4 linked regions of the Lonchura striata genome follow. The protein of the gene in region 4 interacts with the protein of the main gene of each other region in a pairwise test. Links are inferred from orthologs where the notes say so. Each region holds a gene or a part of one and is shown on either strand. Other genes may lie near its edges.

Region 1 (7,936 bases), on a different chromosome or scaffold from region 4:
ACTAACTGATAAATACATTTCCTTCACTCTGATAATGAAGTACTGTTATAAAGCATTTCTCATGTCCTGGTTTCCATCTTAGCTTAATGATCCTTCTTAGTTAAAGCACTTTGAACAGTGAAAAACACTCATGAGAAAATAACATTTCAATGTTGCTAAAGCATCAAATCAGATAAGAAAAAATGTAAGGTATGTTTTTCCTCCTAGTAGAGTGTAATGTCTGAAAGCAGGCAAAGAGCCAGCAACATGTGGCAGGAGCCACATTTTTAACACAACTGTTTATCCAAAATGACTGTCAGTTTAAGTTCTGGCCCTTTGATGAGTGAGTATCTAATCTCTCTAATGATCGTGAGTGTTTGCGTTTGCTGCGAGCGAGCAGGTGCACGGCTGGGACCCCAGCTCAGCGCCAAGTGGAAAGCACTGATTTTGGTGTGATTGGCTACAGGCATGGAGCCAGGCAGGGGGAACTGCTGCTGCCTGCCATGGCATCACCTGCAGCAGCCCTGGCCCTAGGGCCCACCAGTGGCACAGCTGACTGACACCCAAAGCAGTGCCTCTGGGGCTGCTGCCTGGGAAACATTCAGAAGGGGAATATGAAAGAGCTGCAATGCTGCTTGAGGCCATGGATCAACTCATCCTGCCTCTTGCTGCAACACACAATGAAGTTTTTTGAGTGGTTTGATTTCCTCATGAAGGTGATAGACTGCTGAATACCTTAGAAGAATTGCAAGCAGGACTGACCATTACCTGGATAAGCCGAACAGGGTTTTGCATTATATCTTCTCCCCCAAAGAGGTAAACCCTCTGATCTTTGGCAGCAACAGCAGGGTGAAGGACAGCAACAGGCATGTTTGCCATGCTCTCACAGGTGTTGTAGACACTATCATATCTTTCCACAGAATTCAGGACTTCCTGGTTTTCACCAATTCCACCGAATGATAAAATATAATTTTTATATGCCAGGCTTCTGTGGGAGTAACGTGGAACAAGCATGTGCTCAACCAACCTCCACTGATTGAGTTTGAGGGAGTAAATGTAAATATTACCACTGACCAGACTTTTCTTATTGCTAACAGGCATCCCTCCGAGCACAAAAATATTGCTGTGTAAACTCACTGCAGAAGCTTTGTAGAGGCGCATGGGAAGTTTGGCCAGGCTCAGCCATTGGCTCGTCTTGTCATCATATAGCAGGACATCCCTCATTGTCTGCTGGCTGTCCTTCCTGCCACCAATGATGATGAGGAATTCTTGGTTGGAGTACCTGCGAGGAACATGCATCATGGGTTTGATGTCAGGCGTGTTGGTGCTGTACAAAGAAAACATCTGTCTCCGGGCCGACTCCAGGATGCTCCTGCAAGTGGGTGAGGACTGAACGAGTGAGTCATTAGCAATGAAATGGAAGAGGAAAGTTGGATGGACGTACTGAAGTCGGACCTTCTTGAACAACTCTTGGATGTAGCCTTGTCGTGCCTGGAGGTCATGCCGGATCCAGACCGTCAGTGCCTCAAAGACCTGCTCCTCTTCCCCACAGAGTTCATCATCCCCAAGGTAATCGATGAGCTCCATGAGACAGAGGTCCTTCAGGTCCTCGGAAGAGGCCACCACAGGAAAACATTTCAAAGCCATAGCCTTGGCTTTCTTATTCAAGCTTTGGCAGTTCAAGACTTTTGCCAGTCTGATCATGCTCAGACAGTTGTCAGGGGTCAGCTTGTCTTGCAGGTAGGTAGAGCAGGCCTCAAAGAGCTTAGTGTACTGCAGCATGGATGCAGTCTCCAAGAGGCACAAGACATTCTCAGTGGATATTAGAATCTCCCCAGTGTAAACATAAAGGATAATCTGATCCAAAATATCAGCATCGATGCCCTTTAGAATGACTTTAGGCTGGTGACTCTCCCTGAAGTTGTTACAGAACATTGCCTTGAAGTATGGACTGCTGGAAGCCAGCACATTTCGGTGGCAGGGGATTTCAAAGCCCCCGGAGCAGAGGGTAACATCGGTCAGCATCCTGCTCTGCCGCAGAGCATTCAGCTGCCTCAGCAGTTCAGAGGAGAAGTCCTGGTCTTTGAAGACAAAGTCTTCAGTGGATCCCTCTTCCATAGCAAAATATGAGAGAGATGAATTCTGGACTTGGCAGAAAAAGCCCCAAGTTCTTAGCAGCTTTTATTGAAAAATTCAGCTCCAAGGGAACAAATAAGGACTTTGATGTTGCTGTAAATATCCGTTCACTATTACACATAAAAATGGAACATGGTTTAAGCACAGTGGGAAAATAATAAAGAAGCCAAAAAGTCGCTAAGACCCTTTAAAACTTTCATAAAGTTATCAGATAGGTTGCAAGTCTGAGGTCAGCACTGCCTGTGTCATTGGCAAGAAGCAAAAGCACTGAAGTTATCTCACTGATTTTGGATTAAAGCTGGAGGGCTGAAGCAATTGTTTTGTCCATTTCCATCATGTTGAATAAACGCACTTAGACATTTATTCACTATTTTAAAGTATTAGCAGTTTAGTAGCTTGTGCCTCTTTCCTCTAGAGTTAGTCACTCCCAAAGAATGCAAATCTGGCAGAGCTGAGCTCTGCAGCAGGACGAATGGAACCCTAGAGGCTGGGAATCTGCATTAAAAGTTATTTATTAACTCTGCTTAGCTGTGGATTTTTTATGTTAATCAGACACACAATGACTAAATTAGGTACCACGCAGAACAATATGATGAGTATCTACGGTCATGGCTTAACTGCTCAACCTGCAGTGGAACCGAAGGGTAGAAACGTTTACCTTCTGTTGTCCTTCACTGCATGCACTTACTCTCTGTCGTTTATTCTCTGCTGAGTTTTTCCACAGCTAGAGCCTGGACAAAAACCTATAAACCCACGGGAGGTTTCTTTCGGTAGGTAGGTGACTCATAGAGGGCGATTTCTGGCCGTGTTTATGCCGCAGTCCGTTTGCCCGCTGCCGGGCGCTGCGCGGCATTGTGCACATTCCAGCGCTAAGAATAGGCGCGCAGCGCTCCGCGCTCCGAGCGCATGTGACATTGCCGCCGCTGCCTTTTGCAATGACCTGGCTGCTTCTGAGCATGCCCGAGTGGTGTTTTTCTGGCAAATGTTTACATATAATAAATAGACACGGAGAGGAAAGTTCACTTATAAAAGTCCTGGCTGTCCGTTTGGAAACAGTGGCAGGACGCTGTCCTAAAGTGCCTGGGAACTCTAGAAGCCTGTAAACAGTCTGCAATGCCTGGCGCTACGCTGTCACCGTCGTTTCATGGAGAAAGGCGGAGAAAGAAGGGCTTCGAGGGACTCCGGTGGGACGGACAGTGTCTCCACCCTATGGAGCATCAGCCTGTTGCAGTGTGGTGGGAGACGCTGATGCACTGGCACCCCTGCATCCAGCACTGCTCCAAGGTGGGAAGGGAACGCCCAGCTACCTTCATCAAGCAGAAAGGGAAGTTCACTCTTGGAGCGATTTATCTTTATGATGCCGCTTGATATTTCATATAGAAAACACCAGGTTGTGGCCTTTTGTCTAAGGACCTCAGCTCTCTGAAACCCCTAGCAAAGAACATCTCAATCAGATGGCTTGAGGAAGCTCAGTGTTACAGGTGGGAGGACTGGAGTAGGTTGCTGCAGTGAGTAGCAAGCTGGAAACCAAGATTTCAGAGTGGTAATTCCCAGGGTGGAACAGAGCTCCCCAGGGCACACACCTTGATGGGGTCCCTCACTGCAGATGGCTGCACATGAACAAGCTAAGCTCCTTTTGCAGGCAGTGAGGTCTAGTCAATACAACTGAGTCTGCCAAGTAATTCAGGTCACCAGTATGTGCAACCTGTATTTGGGCAGGTGAACAGTCCTCCAGGCACTGCTGGGTGTCCACAGGTGCTCAGCTGCCTCAATCACACGTAGGTGCCCACATTTAACACTCCCATGGTAGGCATCTATGATGATGAGCCTAAATCCATTCTCAGGGCTGGGATCATTCAAATGTCTTGTGCCAGGGGAGGATTCTCCAGAACCCCAGCTGGTGACTTGTCAGGGTCTTCAGCAGGTCAAGTGTGATGTGTTCCAGCTCTATACCACATTCCTTCATGTTTCAAGAGAAATAGAGTTGGCTGCCCTTGCCTGGGTAACTGGATTGGGCTCCTCATCTCTGCTGAGATTTCTCCCTTTGTTCTAGGGTGGGGTTGAATCCAAAATGTAGTTTCTAAGCATCAGTACAACAGGGAAACACAAAGTTAAAGCAAAAGTCCTTCTCATATTTTCAAAGGCAAAGCTCACGGGTGAGTCATGTCTGTATTTAGTCACAGCAAGGCAGATGAGCAAAAATCATTAGGAGTCACAGTGCCCTCATATCAACTCCCATGCCATGCTGGTGTTTGCAGTCCTCCAGATGTACCTGCCTTGGTGTCCATGGTGCAGCAGATCACAGGGATGTGTACAGCCTGTTCCTCTAAAACTGGCAGCTTTGCATCATGGGCATGCTGTACATGGCCTTTCTGAAGTGGTGAAATGCCTGAAGGCAATCAAAACCCTGAAGACCCAGCCCCATGTTAAAGACAGAGTGCAGTCTGGCTGATGTAGCTTTTTGGAGGCTGCCCACACAATCTGTGTGTGTGTGCTCACATGTGTATGAGGTGAAGTGAGGGAGGGGAAGAGAAGGAGCCAGGATTTGAGTCTTGTAGATGAGTCACTTTGAGGGTAAACATGGCAATCGACAGCCTTTTCCCTTCTTCTTAAGTAAAGAAATGACCCAAGAATGATGTTGAGGTGCTGGGGAAAATGTACCCTCCCTCCCTACTCCCTGCTGCTAACTCACCAGCTGGACATGATCTTGCTATAAATATTTAGAGTGGCATTAAAAACCAAAGGAAAATTTTTTCTCTCCTTGTCCAGGGAACATTAGCTACCCAAACAAAACGCCCTCTCGCTTTCTTTCTTGTACTGTATGCATATGCTCTTGTTGCAGTCCATTCTGATGATTGATGTAGCTTTATATCTCTCTTCTGGCTCCTTGTTGCCTGCTTAGTTCTGCCTCTTCCTGGCAGTGGCTGTGGATTACTCTCTTAACCCTTAAAGAAAGAAAAGATGCTATCTGACTTTATTAATGACACAGGTTTATGGGGTTGGGGAAGGCTAGGTAGGATGTTCTTGTGCTTCAGACACTGATAAATGTGGCATTTATTTAGAAGATCCCAGGCTCGATGGCTTTGCACAGTTACGTAAATTCCTGCTAGCCCAGAGTACAGAGTGTGCTGCTTAAATAGCTTATTGCTTTGGGGAGGGTGGTGTTGCTCCTTGCTGAATCCCCACACAGGTCCCTGCCAATTTAGAGCCAGGGCAGCTGAGCAATGAAGCTCCGGCTGCTTGCCTTACAGCTCTCTTCATATTTTTTCCCAGAGATTATGGCTTCAGACACATCTACAACAAAGTGGGCACATCAGCACCGCTTAGTTAGGATTTTCTTTATAAATAGACTAGAAATCACTTTTCATGCCAAGGACAATATGTCCTATATGGCCCCCACTCTATGGGGGATGGGGGGAGGGAAGGGGAGGTGAGGCATGCGCCCTGCTGAGAGGGTAGAACTGTTTCTGCTGGGGGACACTCTAAATTGTCAGATAAAATCTGTTTCTAAATTATTTCTTGAGGAAAGTTTTCTAGGAATGTATGGTATTGACTGAACCAGACCTGAGTGGTCTTTCTTTTAGGAAGACAAAATTACCATGAGAATGAGATCTTGCACAGATAATGGTCTTGTCTGAACAGAAATGGGAAAATGGCCTCATTTACAGGGTATGTGACCCAGCAGCACCTTGAGTTGTGATGCTGCAGGTGCCCCATAGCCCCTGGTGGTCTGGAGCTACCAGGGGCTATTAAAAACGGTGACCCTCTATAATTGCTGCTGTACAAGCTCCATCCGTGGCCAATTTCTAGAAAATAGAAGCATCTACCAAACAACAAACACGTTGTTGTAATGCTGTATACTCATTCTGCTACTTCTGCTCTTTCTCTTTAAGTGTTTAAGAGGCATCATTCAGTTTTGGAATTATGGTGATTGAACCTTTGATCTGACCCAGAGAAGCTCTTCTTGAGTTTTAATGGGATGATGAAATGTCATGCACTAAGCAACAGAGCGGAAAAAAAGCTGTAATCTGACCAGCCAGCAGACAGGTGCACAGAGATTGGTGATGTCAGACAACTTCTAAAACTCATATACTGATCCTATTACAACTCAGGTGAAAATGAACAAATATGGATAAAGAAAAAAGAATGCTCAAGACAGAGACTTCACTGAGCTCATTCAGTATTATGTGCACTGTCATGTGGTCTCAGTGACCACCAGCCCTCACAGTAATCAAGAGACAGATCATACCTTTACCCAAATTTTCAGTCTAAATTGACAGGGGTCAAGAAAAAATATTCCTTATTATGGTCTTAATAAAACTGGGAGAGGGAACAAAACCCAGGATTAACATTTCTCATTGTATAAAGAGACAATTACAGGGTTCATAATTAATCAGATGCCACGGAGAGGATGGGAAGATGACTCGGGCACCAGTGGTGGCTGGTTGGGGTGACAGATCAGCCTAGGCTGGGAGAATATTAGCTTGCTCAGGGACTTGTTCAGATGAACTTTTGAAATCTTGAAGGATTCAGATTTCACAACCTCTCTGGACAACCTGCTTCCATATGTCCAATCAGAATTTCTTGTTTTGCAATTTATGCATGCTGTCTCTTGCCCACAGAAAAATCTGCTAACTTTCTTCTGCCGCTGCTACTTGCCAGCTATCTGATCTCTCCCTATTCTTTTAAGTCCAGATATCCTTATGGTCTTTCTCTCTCATTCTTCTGTAACTATTATGTTATTAATTTTCTATTTAGCTCCTCAGGAAACATGTTTTCCCTGAGTTCTATTGCCACAGCTGCCATTCACATGGATAGAATACTTAATGCTGAACTAAGGCTTATTTTAAGCATCTGGGCTTGGTTATGATTTTGTAGGCAAGGGCAACAGGCTACATCTATAGATACCGGTCTTGAACCCCTGACCTAAACTTATAGAGGCATGGTGACAAATTTTATAGCATTGGAGTCACAGAGAAACATCCCAAGAGTCACTGTTTGCATTGTGTACAGATAGAGAGATACAGCATGTAATTCAATAATGACTTTGGCCCAGTATACGTGGGTGTGAAGATATGTGGGCTTCTGGCTTGGTTTTAGGCCAATCTCTAATTAAAGAGTGAAAGATTAAGATGAAAGCAATTGCACTCTTCTTTAGTCAGAATGACCTACTAGCGTTAATTAAAACACTCCTCAGGCAAAAATAAATTTGGCCGCCAAAGTTCTGTGCTTCACATTAAATAAGGATGTAGCTGGTTTACAGGGTGCTGAGCTTCTAGAGGTTTCACAGAAACCACTCATACAGCTTTGGGCACTTTTGCTGGAATATTTTAAAACAAGTCCTTTGCCTAAACCAGCTACTTCATGTGTATTTCAGACACTCACTGGCTTTTTCTTCGAACTACATAATTTGAGAATGGGTATCTTATCTTGGTGTACAGCATACAGTGTGCTGGAGGATAAAGTATCACCCTATCATTGGACACCAAAGTATCTTCATCCATCCTTTCTATAGTCTCTGGTTACAGACCCATGGCAACAGTAACAAGAAGATACTTAGATCCTATATTGCTCTGTTCTTGCTGAGTCTGAACACTAAAATGCCTATGAAAAAAGGCATTCAAGTATTCAGGATCTGCCCCTGCTATTTTTAGGTACTAGAAATGTTCCCAAAGAAGGATCAGGCCTTTAAAATGCCATAACATCCTATTACACCTGTGTAAGCCACCAATCATTGTTCTTAAAAGCTACACATCTTTCCCATCTTTCATTTGTACTGCTCCATCTTACAACTAAATGGCCAGGTGTTACTACTGTGACA
Region 2 (7,146 bases), on a different chromosome or scaffold from region 4:
GAGTTGTAAACTGAATTTTGGGTTATTAGGCTGGACTTTGGGAGGTGTAAACTGAATTTTGGGTTATTAGGCTGGACTTTGGGAGATGTAAACTGAATTTTGGGTGCTGGGGCTGGACTTTGAGAGGTGCAAGCTGAATTTTGGGTTATTAGGCTGGACTTTGGGAGTTGTAAACTGAATTTTGGGTTATTAGGCTGGACTTTGAGAGGCGTAAACTGAATTTTGGGTTATTAGGCTGGACTTTGAGAGGTGTAAACTGAATTTTGGGTTATTAGGCTGGACTTTGGGAGTTGTAAACTGAATTTTGGGTTATTAGGCTGGACTTTGGGAGGTGTAAACTGAATTTTGGGTGCTGGGGCTGGACTTTGAGAGGCGTAAACTGAATTTTGGGTTATTAGGCTGGACTCTGAGAGGCACAAACTGAATTTTGGGTTATTAGGCTGGACTCTGAGAGGCACAAACTGAATTTTGGGTTATTGGGCTGGACTTTGAGAGGTGTAAACTGAATTTTGGGTTATTAGGCTGGACTTTGAGAGGCGTAAACTGAATTTTGGGTTATTAGGCTGGACTTTGAGAGGTGTACACTGAATTTTGGGTTATTAGGCTGGACTTTGAGAGGCGTAAACTGAATTTTAGGTGCTTGGGCTGGACTTTGGGAGTTGTAGACTGAATTTTGGGTTATTAGGCTGGACTTTGAGAGGCACAAACTGAATTTTGGGTTATTAGGCTGGACTTTGGGAGGTGTAAACTGAATTTTGCGTTATTAGGCTGGACTTTGGGAGGCGTAAACTGAAATTTAGGTGCTTGGGCTGGACTTTGGGAGTTGTAAACTGAATTTTGGGTGCCTAAATTGAACTTTCTGTTGGGCAAGCTGCACTTTGCAGCGCACAAACTGAATTTTGGGTTATTGGGCTGGACTTTGAGAGGTGTAAACTGAATTTTGGGTTATTAGGCTGGACTCTGAGAGGCACAAACTCCATTTTGGGTGCATAAATTGAACTTTCTGTGGAGCAAGCTGCACTTCGCAGCGCACAAACTGAATTTTGGGTTATTAGGCTGGACTTTGAGAGGTGTAAACTGAATTTTGCGTTATTAGGCTGGACTTTGGGAAGTGTAAACTGAATTTTGCGTTATTAGGCTGGACTTTGGGAGTTGTAAACTGAATTTTGGGTGCCTAAATTGAACTTTCTGTTGGGCAAGCTGCACTTTGCAGCGCACAAACTGAATTTTGGGTTATTAGGCTGGACTTTGAGAGGTGTAAACTGAATTTTGGGTTATTAGGCTGGACTTTGAGAGGCGTAAACTGAATTTTAGGTGCTTGGGCTGGACTCTGAGAGGCGTAAACTCAATTTTGGGTGCCTAAATTGAACTTTCTGTGGAGCAAGCTGCACTTCGCAGCGCACAAACTGAATTTTGGGTGCTTGGGCTGGACTCTGAGAGGCACAAACTGAATTTTGGGTTATTAGGCTGGACTCTGAGAGGCACAAACTCCATTTTGGGTGCCTAAATTGAACTTTCTGTGGAGCAAGCTGCACTTCGCAGCGCACAACCCAAACTTCATACCGCTCGTGCCGAATTCGAGGCCGCACCAACACCGTTCAAACACCTCCCTGACCCCATTCCCCCCTTTTTTCCCCCCAAAAACCTCCCCCCTGCAGGAACGCCTGGACCATGCTGGCCTCGGCGTACTGGCACGGCCTGCACGGCGGGCAGTACCTGTCGTTCCTCAGCGTGCCGCTGTGGCTGGCGGCCGAGGCGGCGGCCGAGGCGGCGCTGGGCGCGCGTTTCGGGGCGCCGCTGGAGCGGCTGGGCGGCTGGAGGGGCTCGGCGCTGCGCGGGGCGCAGTGGTTCCTCAAGATGAGGGCGTTCGAGTACCTGAGCGTGGGCTTCGTGCTGCGCGGCGCCGCCGACACGCTGCGCTACTGGGCCTCGGTGCATTTCTGCCTCCACGTGCTGCCGCTGCTCATCCTGCTGGCGGCCGCGGGCAGCGGAGCGCGGGGAAGGGGGACGGGGAACGGGCGGGAACGGGGGAACGGGCGGGAGAACGGGCGGGAACGGGAGAACGGGCGGGAATGGGAGAATGGGCGGGAATGGGAGAATGGGCGGGAACGGGAGAATGGGCGGGAACGGGAGAATGGGCGGGAAGAGGGGAGGGAAAAAGGGCGGGAAGAGGGGAGGGGAAAAGGGCGGGAAAAGGGGCGTGAGGGGGAGTGCGGGGGAGGGGAGGAGACAGTGAGGAGGAGGCGGGAGCGCTGTGAGGGGGAGGGTGGGGAGCTCCTGAATCCTGAAATCCATGAGGGATGGGAGCCCCTGAATCCTAAAATTCAGGAGGCTAGGGAGACCCTGAATCCTAAAGTTCAAAAATGTGGGGAGCCCCTAAAATCTAAAATCCATGAGGGATGGGAGCCCCTGAATCCTAAAATTCAGGAGGCTAGGGAGACCCTGAATCCTAAAATCCATGAGGGATGGGAACCTCTAAATCCTAAAATTCAGGAGGCTGGGGAGACCCTGAATCCTAAAGTTCAAAAATGTGGGGAGCCCCTGAATCCTAAAGTTCAGGAATGTGGGGAGCCCCTAAATCCTAAAATTCATGAGGGATGGGAGCCCCTAAAATCTAAAACCCATGAGGGATGGGAGCCCCTGAATCCTAAAATTCAGGAGGTTGGGGAGACCCTGAATCCTAAAATTCATGAGGGATGGGATCCTCTAAATCCTAAAATTCAGGAGGCTGGGGAGACCCTGAATCCTAAAATTCAAAAATGTGGGGAGACCCTGAATCCTAAAATTCAGGAGAGTGGGGAGCCCCTGAATCCTAAAGTTCAGGAATGTGGGGAGACCCTGAATCCTAAAGTTCATGAGGGATGGGACCCTATAAATCCTAAAATTCAGGAATTTGGGGAGCCCCTGATTCCTAAAGTTCAGGAGAGAGGGGAGCCCCTAAAATCTAAAATTCATGAGGGATGGGATCCTCTAAATCCTAAAATCCAGGAGAGTGGGGAGCCCCTAAAATCTAAAATCCATGAGGGATGGGAGCCTCTAAATCCTAAAATTCAGGAATATGGGGAGCCTCTGAACCCTAAAATCCATGAGGGATGGGATCCTATAAATCCTAAAACCCCTGAGGGATTGGACCCCTCGAACCCCAAATTTCAGGAGGGCGGGGAGCCCCAAAATCCCCAAATTTCTGAGGGATGGAACCCCAAAAGTGATGCTGGGGAGCTGAGGAAGAGGAGGGACCCCGAGGGCCGGGCTGGGGATGAACCCCAAGAGCCAAATTTGGGGTGAGGATGAGGAGGCAGCACCCCAAAACTCTGTGGGGGGGGGGGGAGGAACCCCAGTGGAAAATGGGAGAAAAAACGCCCTGAACCCCCAAAATCCAAAATTGGAAATTGGGATCGGGGGGACCCCCGGGTGAGGAAGAGGAGGGACCCCAAAAATGAGAATTTAGGGGGTTCTCACCCCCCCTGAACCCCAATAATCAGGAATGGGGAGGATTGGGGGGCTGTGGGCACCCCCTGGGGGTTTTTTTAGGGGTGTGGGGCTGTTTTTTGGAAAGAGCCCCCCTAAAATTGAGACCAATAAAAGCTTTGAGTGACGCTCCGGGTGTGTTTGGTGCGTGTGGGGACCCCGAAAGTGCCTCGCAAAACATTAAGAGTGAATAAAACACATTTAAATGCAGCCGGATGTAAGAAATGGATCGAATCTCCCTGAACTGACCTGAGCCTGCGGCACCCTGAGGGGAATCTCGGAGGGAAATGAGGCAAAGCTGGAGGCAAATCCTTCAAATGTGCAAAGAACTCGGGCCGGGAGTTCCCCAGGAGATTTTGAGCCTTCCCTGAGGGGTTTTAGGGTGGATTTGGGGCGTCCCGAGGGGGTTTTTGGGGGAAGTTACAGAGACGTTCTCGTCTCCCCTCACGGCTCAATATGGCGGCAAGGCGGGAAACGCCACTTCCGGCCTCGCCCGGCTGAGGGAGACGGGTGAGCCAATCAGAGGAGGGGTAAAAGGCGGGACTACAGCGCTCGGCGAATCAGAGCGCGACAACGGGGCGGAGCAAAAGCCTGAGCGAATCAGAGAGCGCGAAAGGGCGGAGTGACAGGTGCTCGACCAATCAGAACAAAGAGGCAGGCAGTGAAGCCGCTGCGGCCGCGGCGCCTCAGAGCCGCGGCCTTGTCCCGCCGCCGCCGCCGCCATGAACATCCTTCCGAAGAAGTCGTGGCACGTCCGGAACAAGGACAATGTGGCGCGGGTGCGGCGGGACGAGGCGGCGGCCGAGGTGGAGCGGAGGAAACGCGAGGCGCGCGCGCTGCGGGCGGAGCAGGAGGCGAGTGCTGAGGGATAATGGGGGGGGTGTCGGGAGGGGAAAGGGGGCGGGGCTGGGTAGCGAGGAGCCAATCAGCATGAGAAGCCTTGAATATATTATAAATTAGGGGCGTGGCTTGGGGTGATTGGCATGACTTGGGGCGATTGGCGTAGGGCGGCGCGAACCATTTCCATCTATGGGGGTGGCGGGGGGGGGGATGGACTGAGTTTAAAAAGTTGTTTTATTGAGGAGGGGGCAAAATAAATTTAAAACACAATTTAGCGAAATAAATGGGAGAGGGTTTAAAAAGTCAGTGGGATGAGATTTGGGGGGGAGGGGGGCAAAACACCCGGGATGGGTAAATTTGTGAGGAGGGGAGGGGGGGTGAAAAAGCTCGATGGGGAAGGGAATATGGGGGGGGGGGGGAATCTTTTGGTGAATTTGGGGTGGGGGAGGGATTTGGGGGTCCCTGAGGCCGCTCTGTGCCCCGCCAGGTGCGCACGGAGGTGCTGCGGAAGCGGGCGCGGCTCGGGGGGCGCAGCCCGGCCCCCCCCGCGGCGCCCGCGCTGTTCCCGCCGCCCGAGGAGGCGGCGCCGAACCGCGAGCACGAGGCGGAGAAAAGGCGGGAACGGGTGAGGGTACCCCCCGGAAATCAAATTAAATTAAATTACCCCCTCGGGATAAAAGAAATCACCCCCGCGATGGGCTGAGGGTGGAAATAGCATTGGGGAAAATAAGAGGAAAAGGGTTTGGAGGGGTTGGAGACTGAAAGTCAAACACCGCGAGGAGGTGAAGGGGAAAAAATGGGGCGGTGTGAGGGGGGGAATGGGATTTGGGGGGGATTTTAGCGGGGGTTGAGGGGATTTGGGAGGAAAGGGGGAGGTTTTGGTGTTATTTGAGGGGAATTTGGGGGAAAAATGAGGTGGGTTTGGTATTTTTGAAGGGAATATGGGAGGAAATTAGGAGGTTTTGGTATTTTTGAGGGGAATTTGAGGGGAAAAATGAGGTGGGTTTGGTATTTTTGAGGGGAATTTGGGAGGAAAGGGGGAGGTTTTGGTATTTTTGAGGGGAATTTGGGAGAAAATGAGGTGGTTTTGGTATTTTTTGGGGAATTTGGAAGAAAAGGGGGAGGTTTTGGTATTGGAGGGGATCAGCTGAATCCCAGTTCCCCAATTTTCCCCTTCAGAAATTTCCTGAGGTTGGAGGAATGGAAAAATGGGGGAATTTGTGTGGGAAATTAGAGGATTTTGGGTGGAAAAAGTGGGAATTTGTGTGGAAAAAAGGGGAATTTGGGTGGAAAAAGCAGAATTTGAGGAAAACCCGAGGTGATTTTCACCCAGGGGAGGGTCTCACCCCAAATCCCCCTCCCCAAATTTCCCCTCAGGAGTGGCTGAGATTGGAGGTGTGGGGGCTGAAAATGGGGGAATTCGTGTGGGAAATGGGGAATTTGGGTGAAAAAAAGCAGAATTTGGGTGAAAAAAAGCAGAATTTGTGTGGGAAAAAGGGGAATTTGGGTGTACAAAAGTGTCTGTTTTTGACATTGAGGGGTCTCACCCCCAATCCCCCTCCCCAATTTCCCCTCAGGAGTGGCTGAGATTGGAGGGGTGGGGGCAGAAAATGGGGGAATTTGGGTGGGAAATGGGGGAATTTGGGTGAAAAAAAGCAGAATTTGGGTGAAAAAAGCAGAATTTGTGTGGGAAAAAGGGGAATTTGGGTGTACAAAAGTGTCTGTTTTTGACATTGAGGGGTCTCACCCCCAATCCCCCTCCCCAATTTCCCCTCAGGAGTGGCTGAGATTGGAGGGGTGGGGGCAGAAAATGGGGGAATTTGGGTGGGAAATGGGGGAATTTGGGTGAAAAAAAGCGGAATTTGGGTGGAAAAAAGGGGAATTTGGGTATAAAAAAGTGGCTGTTTTTGACATTGAGGGGTCTCACCCCAAATCCCCCTCCCCAATTTTCTCTTTAGGAGTGGTTGATATTGGAGGTGTGGGGGCAGAAAATGGGGGAATTCGTGTGGGAAATGGGGGAATTTGGGTGAAAAAAAGCAGAATTTGGGTGGGAAAAAGGGGAATTTGGGTATAAAAAAGTGTCTGTTTTTGACATTGAGGGGTCTCACCCCCAAATCCCCCTCCCCAATTTTACCCCCAGGAGTGGCTGAGATTGGAGGTGTGGGGGCAGAAAATGGGGGAATTCGTGTATTAAATGGGGGAATTCGGGTGAAAAAAAGCAGAATTTGGGTGAAAAAAAGCAGAATTTGTGTGGGAAAAAGGGGAATTTGTGTGGGAAAAAGGGGAATTTGGGTATAAAAAAGTGGCTGTTTTTGACATTGAGGGTCTCACCCCCAATCCCCCTCCCCAATTTCCCCTCAGGAGCGGCTGAGATTGGAGGGGTGGGGGCAGAAAATGGCGGCATTTGGGTGGGAAATGGGAGGATTTTTGCTGTAAAAAGGCAGAATTTGGGTGAAAAAAAGGGGAATTTGTGTGGGAAAAAGGGGAATTTGGGTGTACAAAAGTGTCTGTTTTTGACATTGGGGGTCTCACCCCAAATCCCCCTCCCCAATTTTGTCTTTAGGAGTGGTTGATATTGGAGGGGTGGGGGCAGAAAATGGCGGCATTTGGGTGGGAAATGGGGGAATTTGGGTGAAAAAAAAGCAGAATTTGGGTGAAAAAAAGCAGAATTTGTGTGGGAAAAAGGGGAATTTGGGTGTACAAAAGTGTCTGTTTTTGACATTGAGGGTCTCACCCCCAATCCCCCTCCCCAATTTCCCCTCAGGAGTGGCTGAGATTGGAGGGGTGGGAGCAGAAAATGGCGGCATTTGGGTGGGAAATGGGGGAATTTGGGTGAAA
Region 3 (7,687 bases), on a different chromosome or scaffold from region 4:
GCAGTTCTATGTGATGGAGTATGTAGCAGAAGTGCAGAAACGTGAATAAGTGCAAGTGAGGTTTGTCACTTCCTACAGCTTTATTTGCACATTTCTTAACAGGAAGGCAGTAATCTGGGGGCATCATGACCTGAGATAATTTCTTACTGCATTTCATTAATTAATTTATGTGACATTTGAGACCAATGAATGATGTCTTAGAAGCTGAATTTTCACATTTTTATATTTTTGTAGGAAAGAACTAAAATGGCTACATTCCTTCTTTCTGTTGCAGTGAAATTGTTTTAAAATAAGTACGCCTCATATATAAACTGGTCATTCAGTATTGTTTCACTCTAATTCACTCCAAGGGATCTTTTAACAAGAGCCTCAGTTACCTTGCCTCAGAGGCAGATCATAACACTTAAATACAAACAGCTCCGAGTAATTATAAGCTCAGAGAGTAATTGAATATGGATCACTCTGAACCCTGACAATATGGTTGCCAGTGAGAAGGAAATTGCTGTTTTATGACTCTATCCTATAAATATACATTTAAGCAAAATTCTAGATCATTTTGAGACCAGAACCCTCTACTTACACATATTCATGTATCTTGTAAACATTTTTTAATTGTTTGGCTCCGTGACTTTTTAATTCAAATTTTAACACAGACAAGTTTGAACTACCATTCTCAGTTCATTTTGAACTACCATTTTCTCTTTACTTGTATTTTAAAAAACAGGCAGTATGTTAAGAAGGTTATAAAACAGGCTTTTCCTCCTAGGTTTATATATTATTAGACAGCTAATGAGAGAGTTCTGACTCCTTGAGGCTCCACTGACAGCTGCAGCAGCAATCTCTAAGTAATAGACACACTAGTTCAATTTTCTTCTTGAATTTGCATCATTATGATTTTACTTTCAGTCTCAAGTAAATCTTGCCATCAACAGATCCTACCAAAAAAATCCCTTTGTATCCAGGCACAGTAAATTGCAAAAGTAGAGCCTGGTGTAGATATCATGCTAAAGCTGTAAATTGAAATTAAATGTAATTTTTTGCTGTAACAGTTCTTGCAAAAACATTCTTGTTCTGTTGGTAGAGTAAGCCACAGGACTTAGTTCCAGTAAGCTGGGACTGCAACACAGCTCAAATTGCAGATTTAGCTAGAGCTCAACTTACTTTCTGTTTTCTTACATTGTGGCTGTTTTTATCTTTCTGGCCAGATAAACAAATGACCTTCAGTTCCTTGCTGGTTTTGCTCTTGAGCAGAGCTTTTATTTAGCCCTGATATCCCACACTGATAATTTACTGAACAGCTGACCCTTCTCCCCAGATTTCCTGTTCTTACAGAAGGCACTGGCAAGAGCTTTGCTGTGCTAGAGCTGCAGCTGGGAGACATTGCAGAACCAGAGCTCCAACTGTGCTTGTCGACATGAGCTGTCACTGTGAAATAGCCTTGCTAAGTTTTACAATAACAGGAGTCAAAAAAAAAAAAAAAAAAAAAGAAAAGAAAATTAGTCCAGGCAGCTGAATGGCAGAAAACCCATATGGCTTAGCACTGCTGCCAAAATGTTGCAGGTCTCGTTTCTCTAACACCTATTTGTGAAGGGAAGAGTGGCTAACTATCCTCCTCTTCTAATCAGAAGAATTGCTTATTTATAGGCATCAAATTTTATAGAAGTAGTAGCCAAACCGGTCCCAGAGAAAAGAGAACTATGCAAGAAAAGGTGGCTTATGGAAAAAGATTTCCTTCAGAAGTGATTGCATTAACTTCAGAAAGCATAAGGTTGACTGAAGGATGTGATTGTTTTGACACACAGATTTTTAGCAAACAGAGGATTTTTAGGAAACTATGTTTTTTCACCCTGCTACGGTAGAAGCAGGCCAAGATTGAATCTTTCAGGAAAAAGGACTTTGGTTTTCCCCTGCTCTCTCCCACCTGAAAGGATAGTCACTGCAGGAGGCTATCCTAGGAACTATGAAATCTCCTTAAGTGGATGAGGAATAAAAAACAACCCTATTTTATTTTGGAGTGGAGTAAATAAAATTACTTTAAGCACAGATTAACAAGAGCTATTGCTCAGTTTGCTTCCAGCTCCCCAGGTTTCTCATCACACATTTAATCAGACTTAATATCATCAGGTCATATTTCTTACCACTCTTCAGACCTGCCTGGGTATGCAGGTTTGTGCAAGCCAAAAATACTTGTGAGATTTGTTAAGGTGGAAATGTTTGTGTTAGGAAATGTCTGCTCAGAGTTTACATTAGGCTACATTAGGCCCATGGAAATATATTGTTATGTGACTCCTACAGGCACTGTAAAGATTCCATGCTGTGCATACGAGTTGTGGTGAGGCTCATGGTGCAGCTCTTTGAGGTCTGACAAGGAAATCCCCCCTTGCCAGGTGTTACACAAGCATCCACCAACAGGTATCCCAAACAGAATAGAAGCCCTGTTGTGTTTTTGGCAGAAGCTGTGTGGTTTTGCCCTGGATTAGCCCTCGAACACACACACATACACAAACCCACACCCACATGTATTTAGTGACTGACCAAACCATATTTACAGCCTCTCTCCTGTCTTGTTGCTGTAGAGACAGGATGGGAATGAGAAGACTCTGACTCAGAAGGCTGCTGAGAGTAAAACTGCTTTATTCAAAATACCCTGCTCTTTTATACAGAGCTTTGCAAGGATCAAATCCATTGGTTCTGAAGAGAAAACAACCCACAGCATTGGTGCAAAGTGCTTGACACACAGTGATAGAACTTAACTATAAACAATGTGAACAACAAGAGAGATAAAGAATTATTTACATTCTTTCCCAGGCTTTTTGCCTGGCTAGAAAGTCTCAGTTTCTTTCTTTGACTAAATCTAAGACCCACACTGTCTCGCTCCCAGACCCCTTTCTCTAATATATTTCAATGATTTCTGCTTGTAAATCAAGCATTCTATCTTATTCTCAGGTTCACTTGAATATTACAGACAGATAAGGTTGAGGTAAAAGGACAATGTTCATTCCTGAATGCTCTCAGGGAGCTGTACCCACAACTGAGGAGGAAGGTGATCAGGCCAGTTGGTGGTGATTGCTGCTGGAAGGAGACCCCAGCCCCATTTCTCCTCAAGCACGTCCTCCTTCTTAAGATTTTTTTTTTTTTTTAATCAAACACTCTGCTAATCCGACAGCAGGTAGTGTGTGGTTGCTGTTTCACTTTAAGTAAATTCTACATTAAGATCTGCAAGATCTACTGAAACTACCATCTTATATTTCTGCACCTAGGTAATGAGACCTTCAGGGAAAATTGTGAAGAATGTCTACTTATTACCTTCTCAAAAGAGGAATTTGCAGTTCTTTCCCATCCACCTTCCTTTCAATGCAAGCAGAGAACCTGCCTGAAGCAGGACGGTGCTGAGCAGTTGCTGCTCTTCATTTGCAGAGCTGGGCTTCTGGAAAAGCTATTCACCTCACAATACCTCATGGAAAATGTTTATTTATACAATGTGTAGGAAAAAAGCCACAGTTTTAACCTGAGAAAAATACAAGTGCATTTGATGAGAAGGTGAATCTTTGTCACATAAGGATGTTTGTTCTTCAAGATGCTTACAAGACCAGGATATTTCCCTCCTGATATCACTATCCCCATCCCATTGGAGGATAAAATAGGACTTATTCCAAATGCAACTGTCTGCAGACAGCTGAAACTGGAGGATCTAAATATCTAAACAAGCTCACCTTCTTGGTGGTCAGGACTTGTTTTATCAGAAACTTGTGGTCACTGCAGGACAGACTTCAGCAACAGCAGCACCTTGGACTTGCCATTTCTCAGTTTCTCTCTTGGTATATCTTTCTTTCTTAAGTTTTTACATTTCTTTGAGACAAAACAGAACCTTTTTAGAGTTACTTTATTCCTCAACTAGCTAAGATACCACCTGGAAATTATCTCGGTGTGATGCATGATCAAGTTTCAGTTAAACACACAAATGTTAACGTAAGATTTTTGTGTGTACAAAGTTGTCAGAGAAAAAACACAAATGTAACAGCTGCATGAAAAACATGGTTGTTTTTGCTTACAGTGTTCCATCAGTATTTATGCTGGTTTTTTCACAGATTTTTTTTCTCTGTGATCAGGATGACAGGAGTCCTGGCATCTCACACTGTTCCTTCATTAAATACTTTTTGTCATTCTACAGTTTATTTTGAGGAAATTTGTTTAAACCTCTGCACGAACAGCGAATTGCCAACTTTTTTCTGGCACGTCCTATAGCTTCATGACTGATGTTGATTCAAATATCACACACACTTATTTTCTCTTCTCAAAATCACCTGAAAAAAGACAAGAGTTCTTTTAGATAATTTTATCCTCCCCTATACAGTCCTGACACTCCTGAAGCATAGGACCCTACTTGCTGGGCTTTGAGCAACTTTAAACAATAAATTTAAGTTAAAAATGTCACCTCAGTGTTAACTTAGTGATTTCATAGCTTAGAGGTGTGATAAATAACCCAAAATTCTGCTGGTATAATGTGACAAAAGTGTCTTCCTTTTTGATGTGGACTGTGACCAGTGTAGACCAACCTTTTCCTGCCCCATGAGCTCATGAGCTGTCGAGCTGCAGAGCTCACCCACCTCACTGGGGACAGTTCAGCAAAAAACACAGATGAGCTCCTGTGTGTCCTTGGCACCTCCAGCTTCAGATGCCCACAAGCAGCTGCTTTTGGAACAAGGTTTCTTCTCATGACAGGCTTCTGACTTGCTCTGGAATTGCGTTGAAAGGCAAGATACCCTGTTTTGTTTGGTCCATGGAATTCCCATTTTTTCACGGAAAGATAACAAAGAAAGCCTGTGAAGAGCTGCTGAGCAAGAAGAAAAAGAATGGCAGCTATTTAATACGGGAGAGTGAGAGTGTGGAAGGAGCCTTGTGTCTCTGTGTTTTGTAAGTAGCCCAACACTGATTTTTTTATGAGCTTTCAGTTGGATCCAAAGACAACAATCATCTTCTCTAACACTGATAGTTCTTCCCTGATAATAACTACAAGGGACTGTGTCTATTCAAGTATTCAAGTGATGCTTTAAGTTTCCTTTATAGTGACTGGTGAGGGTGTGGCATTTCCAAAAAACTATTTAATGCAACAGATGATAAATTAATAATGTGGTGATGCTGGTCTCTCTCTGCAGAGAATAAGGGGAGCCCAGAGAAAATGCCTCAGCCTGCCAAAATATGCTAAGATCCTTGCTCAAAGTAACTGCCTCTGTAGTGATGAGTAAACAGCATTTTAGCATTGTTGAAACACTGAAAATTCTCATGGTGTGTTGCAAAACACTTCCTTCTTTGTAGACTTTCTGTCTGATAAAAGCTCAGCCTTGTGGTTCATAGGAATTTTACCTGATATAAGAACATTGGCTGAAGCTGAAAATTACAAAGTTCTGTAAAAAGAAAAGATGGGCTTAGAAAACTGTTCCTTCTAGGCCGAAGTTTTAATTGCTACAATTAAAATTTTATTATTTTCTTGTTCTGTAGGGACTAGCACTTTTATTTCCCTTTTTACACTTTTCATATGTAATTGATCTGTTCATAATGCAGTCAAAGTTTAAAAATTAGAATCTAGGTCTTTGTTTGAACCTATGAAGTTTCATACTCTCGTTGCGGGTACATTTGAGTGTGACATGAAAACCTTTTGACACATCTAATTAATGAACAAATATGAGAAGACGTTTTTATCAATCACTAAAAATTAATTTCTTATGAAACAAATCAATGGAGAGGGGAGAAAAAGGGAGAGAGAAATGGAGTACTGTTGGGTTGGTGGGTAGAAGAAAGGAGATCTGCAAAATAACAATGAGTAGAAGAGAAATAGCAAGTTGGGGACAAATAGAGCAGTCAGCAAGAGAGCTACAGGAACCTGCTTTGAGTGTGGTGTGGAATGAGACAATGCTGAGGGGAGGGCAGGAAGGTGGGAGGGAAGGCACATGCATACCTTGTCCAAAGGAAGGGACAAATGGGGAACCTGACACAGAGGAAGAGTGACAATGGGTTAGGCCTTGTGCCACACCAACACAGTTGCTTCTCCTTTCATCTTTTTTTTTTTTTAAAGGCAAAGCAGATTTGCCTTGTGATGTCTTGCAGACATACTTTGGCCTGTCACATCTGCCTGCCACAATATTCTGCGCAGGCACATGAACAATCATCACTTCCAGTTTGCCTCTGTGGGTTTTAGTGTTAAAAGCTGATAAAAATGGAAGTGTTCGGGGGATTTGTCTATAATCCTGACATGGAGAAATGCCACAGTTAAACTGTGAGAGCAGCAGCAGTGGTACACAGGTGGTGGCTTGCACAGGTCAGAGCAAGGCTAATGTTCAGACAGCACATGGGATGGTGTTAGTGCTCTGGCTGAGAATTGCCCCAGAACCTGGCTGCCTGGCAGTGGTTCACTAGGCAAAGTGTCCTGAAACTGGGGGCAACCAACACTGAAACTCTCAGTGGTGTTCAAAGGCAACTTTTGAATTAGCATTGCATCTCACACCTTGTTTAGCAACTAACATGGTTCATGTGCAAACTGAAAAACCCTTCTCACATTAACTGATGTGTGGGCAGAGACACTGATCCACTTGCTACAGCAAACAAACTTACTTTCATGTCCTTTTTTACTGTGATACGGGGCAGAGTGCATTCCCATGGAGGACTTGGGAGGCAGAATGGTGTGACCAGTTCTAATGCATCTCTCCTTTAATCGAGCAAGGTGCAGGGCTTTTCCTCCACAGCACACTGTCTCTTTCACCTAGAATTATCCCAGGTCTCTGACAGCACCTCACTTCAGACTTGCTGGTTTTGCTACTGTTCTCCTTACTGTTCAACATGCCATTCTCCCTCTCACGTCACTTTTCTTCCAGACCAAACATTTTGTTTATTTGTACCCTTTACTAGCTCTTGGTATGCATTTAGTAGTTAATGAGGAGACAGAAGTTTCCATTTTAATGATAGCTTCATGTTCATTTTGTAAAAATTATAGTACCTGAATAATATCCAGGCAGAAACATTTTAATACTTAGTTGATCAGTATAGAACAAGTTTCAGAAAGGATCAGTTCCTGGTATTTCTTTTTCTCACTTTTATGTCTCTGTAAGCATTCACATTTGTAGAAGTACTTTTCAGCATGGAACAGATATCTCAAGAAGACAAGAAACAAAATATGCATCCCTGTGATACCACTTTTTGAATTAAATTAAATATGTTATAACTGAAAGCCTTATTCTGATCTCAGTTCATAGTAAGGTTTTTTTTTGCAGAACAAAGTTGTTTATTTTCAGTAACCCTTAACTTCTGTGCAAGTGCCCTGAGCCAGTTTTCTGCCACAAGATCCTCCTTCTCATGGCAGTTCACTTCACATAGCCACAGCTGAAGTCCTCCTGATGAACAGGCACACAAGTTAAAAAAACTTGTATTCAGATGCTCTCCCCAACCTCCTCACTTATTTGTGATGTATATTTTCTTGCAACTCTGCTACCTTTTTTGACCACAGACAAGATCTTCAGTCCACCTCCTGAAGTGCTGCTACTAGCAAGCTTTTATTTCTGTTGACAAAATATATTCAAAGACATCAGTAGCCTCAGTGTTCAAACACCTGCTTATTATCAAAAGTAACAATAACTCAAACCCTGGGAAATGCAAAGGAAGAACATTATTCTCAGAAGTAGGAGCCATACAGTGA
Region 4 (6,837 bases):
TCCAAAGGGCAGCGGCAGCCTTGCCCCCCCCCCTCGGCCCCACCACCGACGGCAGCAGGGAATCCCGGGGGCGGGGGTCTGCCCCGGTACCCGCGCCGTCCCGGGCCCGGCCGTGCCCTCACCACCTCTTCGCCGCCGTTTTGTACCAATAAAGGAGCAGCGCGATCCCCGAGTGCCGCCTCCTGCTGCCGCCGGACCGGGGTCAGGTGGTGCGGGCCGTGCCCTGTACCGCGTGTCACCCGTGCCCTGTACCGGGTGTCACCGGGCGGGCCGTGCCCTGTACCGGGTGTCACCAGATGGGCCGTGCCTTGTACCGGGTGTCACCGGGCGGGCCGTGCCCTGTACCGCGTGTCGCCGGGCGGGCCGTGCCCTGTACCGGGCGGGCCGTGCCTTGTACCGCGTGTCGCCGGGCGGGCCGTGCCCTGTACCGGGCGGGCCGTGCCCTGTACCGGGAGGGCCGTGCCCTGTACCGGGTGTCGCCGGGCGGGCCGTGCCCTGTACCGGGAGGGCCGTGCCCTGTACCGGGTGTCACCGGGCGGGCCGTGCCCTGTACCGGGTGTCGCCGGGCGGGCCGTGCCCTGTACCGGGCGGGCCGTGCCCTGTACCGCGTGTCACCGGGAGGGCCGTGCCCTGTACCGGGAGGACCGTGCCCTGTACCGGGTGTCGCCGGGCGGGCCGTGCCTTGTACCGGTGTCACCGGGCGGGCCGTGCCCTGTACCAAGTGTCACCGGGCGGGCCGTGCCCTGTACCGGTGTCACCGGGCGGGCCGTGCCCTGTACCGGGTGTCGCCGGGCGGGCCGTGCCCTGTACCGGGCGGGCCGTGCCCTGTACCGGTGTCACCGGGCGGGCCGTGCCCTGTACCGGTGTCACCGGGCGGGCCGTGCCCTGTACCGGGTCGCGGGCGGCGCCTGCGCAGAGCGGCGGCGGCGCGGGCGGAAGCGGCGGCGGGGCGGGGCCGTGGCGGTCGGTGCCGCGTCCCGTCCGACCCCGCGACCCTCGGCGCGGCCATGGCGGAGCCCCCGCGGCCGCAGCGGAAGCTGTCCCGGGTCGGGGAGAGCCTGTACCGCGTGCTGGGGCTGCAGAAGGGCAGCTCCCCCGAGGAGATCAAGAAGGCCTATCGGTACGGGGGGGTCCGCGCGGTCCCTGGGAGCCCGGGCGTGAGGGTCCGTCCCGCGAGCGCGGCCGGGATCTCGTCCGGATGGTCCCGGTGCCGTCCCGGCGGTCAGGGTCGGTTCCGGGAAGCGAGGCTGTAACCCGTGCCGGGGGTCCTGGGTCCCTACCGGGGCCGTGGGCTGTCCCGGGGAGCGAGGCTGTGAGCCCATGCCGGGGGTCCCCGGTTCACCCCACAGGAAGCTGGCTCTCAAGTACCATCCGGACAAGAACCCCGATGACCCGGCGGCAGCCGAGCGGTTCAAGGAGATCAACAGCGCCCACGCCACGCTGAGCGACGCGGACAAGCGCCGCCTGTATGACCAGTACGGCTCCCTCGGCCTCTACGTGGCCGAGCAGTTCGGCGACGATGCCGTCCGGCACTACTTCCTCATGTCCAAGTGGTGGTTCAAGGTGAGCCCGGCATCGTCCGGTGTCCGTGGGGCTGGCGTGACGGGGCTGGCGGGTCACTGGCTCAGCGGTTTGGCAGGCTGGTGGCTTGAGTGGGGTCTTAGCCCTGCTGTGATGGGTCAGGGACTTGGGTGAGCTCACAGCACGTTTGTCCCTGACACAGGCACTGGTGCTGTGCTGTGGAGCCCTCACCTGCTGCTGCTGCTGCTGCTGTTGCTTCTTCTGCTGTGGGACGTGCTGCCCGCCCAAGGAGGATGAGTCCTACAAGTATGTGGACCCCAAGGACCTGGAGGCACAGATGTGTGCAGAGGACAGCGGTAAGTCAGGCGGGAGCCAGTGGCTAGGAGCACCTGTGTTTGCTTGGTGGGGGCTCTGGGATCTCCCCTTATTCCATCTTGTGTGGGGGACAGAGTTCTGGCTCAGATGTTGGGTTGGTTTTAGTCACAGCTCTTACAGCCAGCCCTTGGTGTTTCCTGTGTGGGTCAGGGCTGGTGGCAGTGACAGTGCCAGGCAGACATTGCACGGGCCATGGGTACACCTTCTCCTTCCCTCTGGACACAGGCCCCCTGAACAGGCCTGAAGCTTAGAGACCCTGGGGCCTGTGCCCTTTGGGACACAGAGCACGGGAAGAGCAGCTGTGCTCCAGGCCAGCTGTTCCCTGGCACCAGCCATACTGGTGTCAGTGGGGCTGGGTGACTCCTGCAGGTTTCCTTGGGGTCGGGGCACTCCCATGGCCCTCTGCACTGGGCAGGGGTATGGGGGCTTTGGGCTGTGGGGGCCCTTGAGGCAGTGTTGTGAGATTCCTGCTCACTGGCACCACAGGATGGGGCTGAGCCACTGATCTGCAGCTCTTCCTTTCCAGATCCTCAGATCCCTGTTATAGCACAGCCCGCGCCTGCCAGCACGGACCCACTGCCAGCCAGCACCAGGAGTGATGCCTGAGGCTGGCCCCATCCCGCCGGCTCCCTGAGGACTCGGGGCAGGGATTCTCCTTTGGGACTGTCACTTTCTGGGACCACGGTCCCACCCCCCAGACTGGCTCATCAGCCTCGGGAGGGATATAATCTCAGGTTAATTTGGCCAGCATCAATGCACAGGCTCCTGGGCCCCTGCTCGAGCTCCAGGGCAATGCCCCAGCACTGGTGGTGGCAGTGGCCTGGAGCCCATGCTGCCATGGCCCCCTTGAGTGCCTTGCCGGTGCCCAGGTCGGGCAGCAAGCAGCAGGCACGAGCAGGGACGCTCCGGGCCGAGCTCTGCAGGGAGCCAAGCGCGTCCGAGACCATTAGCACTGTAACCTCTGGGGCTGGGCTGAGCCCGCTGCCCCCCTGCAGCCCTCCCGCTGGGTGCTGGGTGCCAAACGCTGCTGTGGAGTTGGGGTGCTCCTGTCTGTGCCCCTTTCCTCTGCCCTCTGGGTTTGTCTAGGTTTTTGTGGGCACCATTAAAGGCCGACGGGAGGGGAGTGTGTGTGCCTGGGTTCTGTCCGTCGGTGGTAGGATGTGCCTCTGCCTGGTGTTGTCCATGCTGGGGGCTGTGCCCATGGATCCTGCAGGGTGCTGTGGGGACTAACTGGGGTGTGCAGTAGGCAGGTCACGTCCTGTGTGGAATGGTCATGTCTAGTGTAGTGAATGTCACTGGTCTCCTGTCACCCACCTGGGTCCCGCTCTGTCCCCTGCTGCTGGCTCCCGCAGGCTCTGCTCTTCCCTCTCCTTGCTGCTGCCATCCTGGAGCCCTGCTCCCCCCTGCCGGCACTGCCCCTGCTCCTGCCCCGCTCTCCTGCGGAGGGCTAGGACTGGCAGGGATGGGACCAAGGGGGACACTGTGAGCCGCTTGCACTTTCTTCCCATGTCTGGTCACTGCCACTGCCCGCAGCTGCATGGGCTCTGCCTCACTCCCTAAATATAGCCAGGGTGCCAGGGTGAGTGAGGATGGGGGTGTCCTGGCTCCAGCCCCTCCACCCTGCTCTTCGGAGGGGCTGGCACTGGGCTGTGGGATCTGCGGGACCCCAACCTCCCCCAGCCCTGCTGGGGGACACATACTCCTCAGCATGACTGCCAGCCCTGCACCCCTGCACCAGCCAGGCCCGGTCCCCGGAGCCTCGGCCGCTCCTCCTCCCGGGCAGGGGATCAGCGGGTCCCGAAGCGCAGCGGGTCCCGGGACCAGCCGGTCCCTAGGGTGGGCAGGAGCGGTGACTCAGTGTCACCCGACGCCGCCGACAGCTGCGGCCCCGGCGGGGCGGGGGCGGCTAAAATTAGCGCCGGGGGCCGGGGCCGGGGCCGAAACAAAGCGGGCACCGGGCGGCCGGAGCGGAGCCGCGAGACAGAGCCGGGTCGGGCCGGGCCGGGTCGGGACCGCAGCCATGAACTTCGCGGTAGGGCTGAAGCCGCTTCTGGCGGAGGCGCGGAGCATGGAGAGCCTGGAGAAGCAGCTCATCTGCCCCATCTGCCTGGAGATGTTCTCCAAGCCCGTGGTCATCCTGCCCTGCCAGCACAACCTCTGCCGCAAGTGCGCCAACGACGTCTTCCAGGTGGGACCCGCCGGTGGGGCGCGGGGAGGCACCGGGACCTAGGCATTAGGACCCCAGTCCGGCGGGTGGTGGCCCCGTTATCCCGGGATCCCCGGCCAGCGAGGCGGAGGGGCGGGCGGCACCAGAGCACCGGGATCCTCTTCGCAGAGGGGCCTGGTCTGACACCGGCACCGGCAATCCCGGCTGGGCTGTGCCCGGTGCCACTCTCGGCCGGCGGAGACGGTGAACGGGAAGCAGAGCCCGTGTAGGAGTCCTTGTTTGTCTCCACACCCGTGTCCTGTCCGTGCTCCTGCCCGTCTCCGCCTCTGTTTCCGTGCCATGGCCGTGCCCGGGCGCGTCCCGGGGGCTGTGGGGTGCAGATCCGCGGGGCTGGGAGGTGCCGGGGGTGCGGGGTGCCGCCGCCGTGACCCCTCGCGTACCCCCCCAGGCCTCCAACCCTCTGTGGCAGTCACGGGGCTCCAGCGCGGTGCCGTCGGGCGGGCGGTTCCGGTGCCCGTCCTGCCGGCACGAGGTGGTGCTAGACCGGCACGGGGTGTACGGATTGCAGCGGAACCTGCTCGTGGAGAACATCATCGACATCTACAAGCAGGAGTCGGCCCGGTCCGGAGGCGTGGGGACCCCGGGGCGGGCAGGGCGAGACCTGCGGGTGACAGCAAACCCAGCGAGAGGGCTCGGGGTGGGATCCCAGCAGGAACTGGGGAGCCATGGGGTCCATATAGGGCCAGGGAATATCCCTGGGGCTGCGGGTCTCTCCAGGGCCAGCGGTATTTCTGCTGCCAGCAGTGTCCCTGCAGCTGAAGGGTCCCTGGGAGCCAGAGGTGTCTTGAGGGCTGGGCAGATCCCGGGGCTGGTGCTGTCTCTGAAGCTGGGGTGCCTCTGGGGCCAAGGTGTCTACCTGATACCCCAAACCGCCATGTAGACCCCTTCATGCCAAGGCTGAGCAGCACCTGATGTGCGAGGAGCACGAGGACGAGCGGATCAACATCTACTGCCTGCGCTGTGAGGTGCCCACCTGCTCCCTCTGCAAGGTGTTCGGGGCGCACAAGGACTGCGAGGTGGCCCCGCTGCCGGCCGTCTACCAGCGCCAGAAGGTGGGGGGACCCTGGGGTCTCGGGGGGCTGAGAGTGCCTGCACAGCCACCCTCACACCCAGCCCCTCTCCTGCCAGAGCGAGCTCAGCGATGGCATTGCCATGCTGGTGGCGGGGAATGACCGGATCCAGGCCATCATCACACAGATGGAGGAGATCTGCCACACCATCGAGGTTGGGACCGAGGGTTCTGGCCCGGGGCTGTGGCAGTGGGGGGATGTGGTGCGCTGGCAGTGTCCAGCCCTGGGGCTGTGCTGGGGGGACACGGCGCAGCCCTGGCTCTGTCCGCAGGAGAACGGCCGGCGGCAGAAGCAGCATGTGGGGCTGCGGTTTGATGCGCTCTACGGGATCCTGGAGGAGCGCAAGAAGGAGCTGCTGCAGAGCATCGCAGCCGAGCAGGAGGCCAAGCTGCAGCGAGTCCGTGGGCTCATCCGCCAGTACGGAGACCACCTGGAGGCCTCCTCCAAGCTGGTGGAGTCAGCCATCCAGGCCATGGAGGAGCCCCAGATGGCCCTGTACCTGCAGGTCCTGCCAGGGGAGCAGGGAGAGAAGGGACAGGGGGGCTGTGTGGTGCTGCCATGGTGTTCCCTGAGGGGCATGGGGCTGCTCACAGGTCTAAACGGGGGGCTGTGCTCACCCAAAAGGATCTGTGGATGCCCCTGGATGTGCCCCACCTGTGGTGGGGGTGATGTCTAGAAGACACTGATCCCGCCTCGTTTTCCTTCACAGCACTCCAAGGAACTCCTGAAAAAGTGAGTGGGGACTATGGAGGGAAAAGACCTTTGGCTGGTGGCCCTCTGGGTGCTGGACCCTGCAGCTCCCAGGGTGTCTCTGCCCTGCAGGATCACAGACATGTCCAAGGCATCAATGAGCAGCCGCCCTGAGCCTGGCTATGAGAACATGGACCACTTCTCCATCAACGTGGACTATGTGGCTGAGATGCTGAGGACCATCGAGTTCCAGACAGGTGCCTGCACTGGGGAAACTGCTGCTGTCCTGAGGGGGTGCTGGGACTGCCTGGGGTGCCCAGAGCCCCAGGCGGAGCCCCCCTCACCACATGCCCTGTGTGGGAATCCCACGCAGGACTGGGGATGTGACCTTCACCTGTAGCTCCACCCAGGGGCCCTGGAGGGTCAGTCCTGCCCAGGCTCTCCCTGGTTCCCACACTGGGCTGGTCACATTCCTCCTAGGAACGTCCATCCTGGAGCGTCCTGCTCCATCACCTCCCTCCTGCATGCCCTAGTGTATCCCCATGATGCAGGAGGGAGGGAGGGAAGGTCCCACCTGAGCTGTCCCCTGCCCACAGAGCCCCTGGGTGAGGATGAGGGGGATGGACCTGGGGACGGCAGTGAGGCTGCAGCAGACGAGGACCGGCTGGACAGTCTGGAGGTGCCCGAAGCTGCTGAAGGTGAGTGCCTGCCCTGACTGCCCAGGGCTGTGTCCAGTGCCAGCCTTCGGCTGTGCCGTGGTCTCCGTGTGGCAGCACGTGTCCTTCAGGGTGCTGGGGCATCCTTGCCTCATTCTTGCTCCCTCTCTCCCGCTGCAGATGTGGGGCCGAGGCAGAAGCCAGCGAGCTCTCCCCATGGTGAGACCTCATGGGAGTGAGATGGGCACGGCCATGGGGTGCCGTGGGGCAGAGGAGACCTGCTGGGAGTGGGGATGAG

Evidence for each region.
Region 1: the proteins of TRIM54 (region 4) and KLHL38 interact in binary tests that used the Homo sapiens proteins (3 or more experiments, as listed by UniProt). The two-hybrid records come from large-scale screens. The link is inferred for Lonchura striata from reciprocal best matches to the Homo sapiens genes TRIM54 and KLHL38.
Region 2: the proteins of TRIM54 (region 4) and LENG1 interact in binary tests that used the Homo sapiens proteins (3 or more experiments, as listed by UniProt). The two-hybrid records come from large-scale screens. The link is inferred for Lonchura striata from reciprocal best matches to the Homo sapiens genes TRIM54 and LENG1.
Region 3: the proteins of TRIM54 (region 4) and SH2D1B interact in binary tests that used the Homo sapiens proteins (3 or more experiments, as listed by UniProt). The two-hybrid records come from large-scale screens. The link is inferred for Lonchura striata from reciprocal best matches to the Homo sapiens genes TRIM54 and SH2D1B.

The regions. Positions count from the first base shown.
Region 1 is NC_134603.1:12,475,110-12,483,045, reverse strand, and holds the start of KLHL38 (kelch-like protein 38), read right to left. Parts: upstream 3,007-7,936; 5' UTR 2,804-3,006; exon of another isoform or gene 2,774-2,803; intron 2,226-2,773; 5' UTR 2,098-2,225; coding exon 748-2,097; intron 1-747.
Region 2 is NC_134640.1:2,371,411-2,378,556, forward strand, and holds the start of LENG1 (leukocyte receptor cluster member 1), read left to right. Parts: upstream 1-4,134; 5' UTR 4,135-4,190; coding exon 4,191-4,322; intron 4,323-4,795; coding exon 4,796-4,933; intron 4,934-7,146. Other genes in the region: membrane-bound acylglycerophosphatidylinositol O-acyltransferase MBOAT7, read left to right, coding at 1,659-2,827, 3,850-4,094.
Region 3 is NC_134604.1:2,908,816-2,916,502, reverse strand, and holds the start of SH2D1B (SH2 domain-containing protein 1B), read left to right. Parts: upstream 1-4,675; coding exon 4,676-4,914; intron 4,915-7,687. UniProt on the Homo sapiens protein: Cytoplasmic adapter regulating receptors of the signaling lymphocytic activation molecule (SLAM) family such as CD84, SLAMF1, LY9 and CD244. In SLAM signaling seems to cooperate with SH2D1A/SAP.
Region 4 is NC_134605.1:113,724,005-113,730,841, reverse strand, and holds the start of TRIM54 (tripartite motif-containing protein 54), read left to right. Parts: upstream 1-3,830; 5' UTR 3,831-3,916; coding exon 3,917-4,084; intron 4,085-4,511; coding exon 4,512-4,684; intron 4,685-5,003; coding exon 5,004-5,175; intron 5,176-5,251; coding exon 5,252-5,347; intron 5,348-5,464; coding exon 5,465-5,698; intron 5,699-5,902; coding exon 5,903-5,925; intron 5,926-5,997; coding exon 5,998-6,140; intron 6,141-6,479; coding exon 6,480-6,581; intron 6,582-6,719; coding exon 6,720-6,758; intron 6,759-6,837. Other genes in the region: DNAJC5G (dnaJ homolog subfamily C member 5G), read left to right, coding at 1,008-1,120, 1,350-1,563, 1,724-1,877, 2,423-2,502. UniProt on the Homo sapiens protein: May bind and stabilize microtubules during myotubes formation.